2 linked regions of the Tribolium castaneum genome follow. The protein of the gene in region 1 interacts with the protein of each later gene in a biochemical or structural test. Links are inferred from orthologs where the notes say so. Each region holds a gene or a part of one and is shown in the gene's direction. Other genes may lie near its edges.

The links.
Region 2: the proteins of Sirt1 (region 1) and active regulator of SIRT1 form a complex in vitro, tested with the Homo sapiens proteins (2 studies listed by BioGRID and IntAct). The link is inferred for Tribolium castaneum from reciprocal best matches to the Homo sapiens genes SIRT1 and RPS19BP1.

What each region holds. Positions count from the first base shown.
Region 1 is NC_087394.1:11,919,761-11,923,596, forward strand, and holds part of Sirt1 (NAD-dependent protein deacetylase sirtuin-1), read left to right. Parts: intron 1-1,036; coding exon 1,037-1,317; intron 1,318-1,487; coding exon 1,488-1,683; intron 1,684-1,737; coding exon 1,738-1,966; intron 1,967-3,836. UniProt on the Homo sapiens protein: NAD-dependent protein deacetylase that links transcriptional regulation directly to intracellular energetics and participates in the coordination of several separated cellular functions such as cell cycle, response to DNA damage, metabolism, apoptosis and autophagy.
Region 2 is NC_087394.1:22,070,521-22,073,676, reverse strand, and holds active regulator of SIRT1, read left to right. Parts: upstream 1-1,436; 5' UTR 1,437-1,521; coding exon 1,522-1,588; intron 1,589-1,636; coding exon 1,637-1,729; intron 1,730-1,786; coding exon 1,787-1,944; intron 1,945-1,997; coding exon 1,998-2,117; 3' UTR 2,118-2,395; downstream 2,396-3,156. Other genes in the region: uncharacterized protein LOC135265385, read right to left, coding at 1-293, 347-538, 600-732, 785-1,124; vir (protein virilizer), read right to left, coding at 2,527-2,569, 2,618-2,879, 2,929-3,156. UniProt on the Homo sapiens protein: Part of the small subunit (SSU) processome, first precursor of the small eukaryotic ribosomal subunit.

The sequences.
Region 1 (3,836 bases):
CAAAAAAATAGGAAATATAGATTTTAAACATACAGGGTGAATTTGACACTATTTATGGGACTATTTATATAAATTTATGGGACACCCCCAAACTTTACCAATGAAAATTGTAAAAAATCTGATCTTTGAAGTAAGTTCTTTAAAATATATTATCATTCCTTTAAGCATATTTTGTTAATTTTGTTATGACTCCACAAAAAATAAATAAATAATGTTAAATTTTTTTTATATTTTTTTACTTTATCGAATTTCATTTTCTCAAATGTTACCGACTATTAGCCATGGCAATTTCGGAGTAAAGTAATCAAAAGACGCAAACTTCGTTTACATTGCATTTTTTGACGAGTATTTTGATACTAAAGTGGAGGCTGCATTATTTATATCTCAGAAACTATAACTATGAGGCAAGTTGAGTTATTTTAACTTCTTTTGAGCTTTACTATTACCCCTAAAATGTATGGAATACTATCAAATCCACCCCGTACCTAATACTTTTCCTGACTTTTAAATTGGAGAGCAAATGAATATCAAGAATTTTTTGTATGTTCATGATTTAGTAAGGCTAGAAAACCAGATAAATAAAATACATAGTAAGTTATATGATTAGAGATTGGTAAAACTCATTCGATTTTAGTTTTCCCCTAGAAGATTAGACATGCGGAAGTTATTTATAAGTGTGTAAAAATTGGAAAATCCCAACCAAAAAAAAAGTACAATGGTATCGAATACTCACTTTTGCCTGAAAGTCATTTCAGGATGAAAAAAACCATTATTTTTTTTGTTTTTTTTTACGAAAATGGATTATTAATTATTATCAATCAGTAACTATTTTTTTTAATGTCATTTTTTAAAAATAAAAAAGATATAACATATTGGGCTGAAAAGTAAAAAACCAACATGTTTTTCATAATAGGGACTGTAAAACAATCGACAATACATGCATTACGTACAAAAACTAAGCGGACAAAAGCATTTAGAACGAAATTAAATAAAAAAATTGAGCGATGGGATTGTAAACGTCATTTTTTTTTGATAGGAATATCACCTGATTGCGATTCCGGTTATGAAGCATCCACGTTAGAATCAATTCCAACTTCTTCACACCAGACCTCACCTCACACTGACCCCGGCGATGTCCCAGAGAGTTTATCCAGTCTTTCCGAAATATTTCTAACACCATCCCGAACAGATCAAGCGGACACATCTCAGGACAGTATCGAAGCCGACGATGACAATGCCTCCACAGTTAGCGAAATAAGCGGTCTTTCGGACCTCTCTGGACAAGATTGGAAACCAATGGCTGGCAGCATGATTTGGGTACGATATAATTACCATAAACAATCTTTTTTTTCTGTAGTAGCTGTTAAACTATTTCTTTATCAACTCTGTTGAGTAAATCTAATAGCACTGTAATTTTTTTTTTGCAAATACACAAACTCTTTATCGTCTTGTATAATAAATAACTAATAAATAATTTTCCGCAACAGATTCAAAAACAGATGCAAAACGGCGTGAATCCCCGAACGCTGCTGAGCGATCTGGGTGTGGATCTGGATCAAGTGCCGCAATATGTAGACGAAATAACTCTCTGGAAATTAATTATAAACATGTTGGCCGAGCCGCCACGACGGAACAAATTGCGACATGTTAATACTTTGGACGATGTAGTTCGATTGGTTAAAGGTTTGTCATTTAATTCATAAATGAGTGGTGTTTTTTGACGGAAGTTTGGTTTAGGAGCACAAAATATAATAGTTTTAACCGGCGCTGGAGTGTCTGTTTCGTGTGGAATTCCAGACTTTCGATCACGTGATGGGATTTACGTTCGACTGGCGATAGATTTTCCAGATCTTCCAGACCCGCAAGCAATGTTTGATATCAGCTATTTCAGTCAAGACCCTCGGCCCTTCTTCAAATTCGCACGAGATATATATCCAGGAAAATTCACGCCAAGTCCTTGTCACAGGTAATGATTTGAAAATAATATTTTAAATTATTAATTTTTTACCAGTTTGTCCAATTTCTTACCTCAATTGTGGAACGTACGTGTAGTATTTTATTGCCAGAATCATATTATTACTCTGGAATTTGTTTAAAAAAGATGACTTTTTTACTATTTTAACCAGTGATTTAAATACTTATTTGGTTTGAGGCAAGTGATTTATGAATTAATGTCTAAACTAAAACAAAACGTACAACTGATTTCACCGTTGCTAAATGTATTTTTGAAACATTTTCAAAACAGATAAACAGATAAAACTTTGCTTTCATACGTATAGTAAGCTTCCTAATGTTCTGAAAATAACAGCGAAATTATTTTTATGAAATTACAATATATGTCATTTTACCGGGATTCTTTTGAGTTTAATTGCATAAGTTTTTATTTAAAATTTAAATTTTATTTGTTTAAAGACATGTTAGCATAAGATGAAATAGCGTAATTGTGATCCAATCTGAGATCTTTGGGCTTATAAGTGTTTTCAAAACAAAAATAAACAAAGTCATTTGGAATTGGCTGTAATAGTATTATTATAGTAAGGCTATGAATTTTTCAACTTGTTTCTGCCAATCTCTTGAATTCAGGGAGTTTTTTTTATTCGAAAACGACATAGATTGCTCGGAAGCGGCTGAAATAATCTTACTCTGTCTCAAAGCAAGTATTTTTAATTGAGCTTATGGTGCAAAATTGAGCTAATGCTTCAAAATTTGCATCAATAGTATTATTTTCACCTAAAATATTTTGCTGTTATTTTTTTTTGAGTAATAAACTTATAAATGAATCCATTACTCACATACTACAGCGACTGTTTTCCAAGTTTTTGGGCATATTAGAGGAAAACTTGTTTTAAAATGAGTTCAATTTTTTAAATTGTCTGAAGTATCATTATTTTGACTTAAAACAAATATTGGGCAGATTTAGCCAATTTTTTTGAACTAAGTGAGTTTCTGGTGCAAAAGTGGGCAAGATACCACAAAAATACGGTTAATTGTATGTTTTAAACAGTTTCACAAAAGGCGAAATTTTGCTTTCTTATTTTTATAATCAAAATTTACGAACTTTCTATTTCCAACTTTTCGGAAATCAAGGAAGTTTTTATCACGGTTTCCATCTGTTGTGCAATGAAAGTGTTTATCTACATAAGTTTTATTTAAAACAGATTTTCTGTTCAATATTGAACAGAGTTTTTTTTTTGAATAATAAATTACTCCGATACACACATACCATAGGGATTGCTCTCAATTTATCGGAAATTTTCAGAGGAAAATTTGTCTAAATTGTTTGGAATTGGCGGAAATATCATTATTCTGACCTAAACTGAATATTGTCTGTCAGATTTCGCCAAAATTTCTTGAATTAAGTGAGTTTCTGAATAATAGAATAAAAAAATATTATCTACCGGTTTCTTGGTCTGTTTTCAATTTCGTGGAAATTTTTAGAAGAAAACTTGTTTTAAAATGAGTTCAACAGCCTGGAAGAGGTTGAATTAGCATTTTTCTGGCCCAAAACAGCAATTTTTTGGCTGATTTATTCGATTTATAATTTTTTTTCCGAATAAGTGAGTTTCTGGTACAAGAACGAGCTTAATCTTTCAGTTAGTCCTCTGTTATAGTAAGCCAAAAAGTATCTTTATTTTTTTCAACTAATTTCGTGAATAAATTGAAATTATATAATAATAGAGTGTTTTTTGTTTAGACATTTTAAAACATCTTTTTATTAGATATAGCGTTATTTTGTCTTAACACGACAATGTTTTGGTTTCCGTCGCCAAAATATTTTGGTAAATTATGTTTTTGGCTCAAATTACAACTAAATGACTTGACATGCCCAAGAATTG
Region 2 (3,156 bases), about 10 Mb from region 1:
TATTGGGAAGACCGGTATATAAAACAATGAGTTTGTCATTTCCTTGAACATTTTCATAGCAAAATCGTACTGTCAGATATTGTATTTTTGCTTTAAGTTCAGCATTTTCCTTTTTGAGAAAATACATTTCTGCTTCAAGAGCCGCATGTGACACCAAGGGTGCTTGCACACCCATAGATTCTAACGGAGCATCTTGAATTATATCTGCTGGTGCTGCAACTACGGCTGTAGACGTCGATGGCACTTCCTCTAAATTCATTGTCGATGGTACTGTTTCTTCCGGTATATCAACACTATTCAAATGATCAAATTGTAAATCAATTTAAAACTAGGATTCACTTTTTACCTTAATGATTCAGCGGAACTAGAACAAGAAGGGAGTCCTTGTTTTTTCATCTTTTTTTTTTCTGGAGATTCCACTTGAAAATAGGCTCTTTTTGCGATATTGTGCAAAAATAATTCAGGACCATTTTCCTTTCTTCCATCCCGAAAATGGCAGCTGCAAACGTAGGCTCCTGGTCCGGGTTCTACATCTCTTCTACATTTAACAATGAAACAAGCAATTAAAAATTAATATCAAAACATCTATTAAAAATTACCTCAACAATTTTTTCCATAGTGCTCGTTCTTTTCCCGACTTAGGAAAACTAAAAAAATGGCATTTATCGCGAGTACTATAGTGTTTGCAATCTGGAGCCCAACACATTCCCATAGTTGTGATGTAAAAACCTACTACACATGAACTATCAAAGTATCGCAACAAAATATTATTCACAAATCATACCTAATGATGTACCACAAAAATGAGATAATGTCTTGGAAAAACAGAATTTTAAAAATTCAAGAACACGAAGATATGGAGAACGATCGGAAAAAACACGATAACAAAAGACACTCACGAAAGAAGCACAGAACTCACAACCCGTACTACTTTCAACCATGTATGTGCCTGAACCCTCTACCCTCGTATACCTGCTATTCATCCCTCGTGATGGGGGAGGGGGACAGAAAACAACCCGTTTATTGGGGTTGCGCCGGTTGCACCCCATGAATTCGTCATTCAGAAGAAATCCAATGTCATTAGTGTGGCAAACCATTTTTCCCTCAGTTTTAAAAGGCCACATAATAATTTACATCAATATGATGTCCAAATTAAGAAAAACTGAATTTTGAAGTTTGAAAAAAGTTAGGTTAGAAAAGGATTTATGTGTTCAACTTACAGAAATATTAGCTCAGTTGCTAAAATCTTTAAGAAACGACATTGCATTTTTCATAGCTATCATTTCTCTGTAAAAGTAATGTTCCTACACTTCTAGCATTAAAGAAATACGAAAAACTTTTAAATGCCCATAAGAAAAGCATTGAAAATGGCGATTGTTTAGCTTTAAGGTGCTGACCTACCTCAAATGTCTACGTCACACTGATAGCGCGTATTCTGATTGTCAGAACCGACATAACCTCTACAAAAAGTTCTCCAAGAAAAATTTGAGGAAATGAGTTATTTGAGTTGTTTTAATTGAAATGTCTTCCGCCTTGGTTCAGAAAGCTTTAGAAATTGTAGATCCTGATTTTAGGAAACAAGCTAAAGGTAAAACCTTGCATCTTTTGTTTTATTTTTTTTTACTTTACATTTTAGTTAAAAAGTCGAAGAATAATACAAAAGATGTGTTCAACTTGATACCCGATAAACTAAAAATAACGAAAAATATTAGTAGAAAAGGACGCAAAGGTATAATCACATGATAAAACTGTGTTGTTGACACCATGTATTTTTTTTCAATTTTAGAAAAAACAGGAGTTTTGTCAACTTCAAAGAAACTAACAGTTTTAGAAGCGAAGAAAACTTTTAAGAGCAAGGACGAGATTTTGAAGGAAAATTTGAAAAAGCTTAAAGAAATCAAAAATGTTTGCACTATTGAACTTGATAAAGAAACTACAGAAAAGGTGCAATCCTTCTTACCATATGAAATGTTTATTTAAATATACTTTGTCTTTAGATAATTCAAAGGGCGGTCACTCGAAGGCCTGTGAAAGAAAAGAAAAAACGCAAGAAGACCCAAACAACTGTCTTCACTGAAGAAGATTTTAAGAAATTTGAAGAGGAATACACAGGGTAAAAATGGCAGTGTCAAATAAGGTTTATGGTATAACAATGCTAGGTTTGAGTGTCTTAAGTATTTTTTATATGTTTTTTATGTTAATAATTGTACCAATTTTGCCCCTTAATGAAGACAATATTTTAAGTTCGCTTTCACAAACACCAATTCTGTTAGTGAGTGGAATTTGTGGCCTGATTTTTTGTGGTGGTTTATCAGTTTTTACTGTTTTTGTAATGATGAAAGGAAAATGGAGACTCTTGTGGACAAACAGAAAATAAATAAAGTACAAATTGTAACTAATTTTCTAATTTACATACCTACCGACTGTGCCAAAAAAAAATTGAGGATACGTTCAAATGAAAAAACAAATAATCACAGAAATCAAATGTATTGGAACATTAATAAATACATAAAACAGTACACTTAATTACTGATAGGGGCTCCGGGAGAGGCTCATACCCCACCAAGACCTAAAAAAATAGTCTATCTACATATTGTTTCGAACACAGAAAACTTACATTTGTCTGCAATGTACTGACCGCTCCGATGTAACGAAAGCTCTCCCTCTACTGCCCCGCGCAATCCTAGTCGATGCCAAAAGCTCCCTACTGAACTTATTATACCCTGTCGGCCCAGTTGGCTGTGCCCCACATGTCTCTAAAGCCACAAAATCATCCACATGTAACGAGGGTGGTCTTGAAGTATTCGGCGGCCTTGAACGGAACAAATCCGACCTCTGCTGAATAGTTCTTGGGAAACCACGCGACCTAACCGGAGTAACTAAAAAACACCATTAAACCAAAACCTAAACTATCATCTCAAAAAATACTGAAAGGTTTCTTCGTTTTCGTCTTCTGGTCGTTATCATGGTTTTCCTTTTCGTTGCTATTATCTGAGGGACAGATTCGACACAGTTTTTCGATTTCTTTAGCGATGTTAAAGTCTTGGGGTAGATACTGACGGGCGATTTCGGCTAGGTCACATGATACATTCTCGTTTTCGGATTCGTCATTCGCCATCGATAGCCAATATCTTATTGTCAGTCTTTCGTCACAAA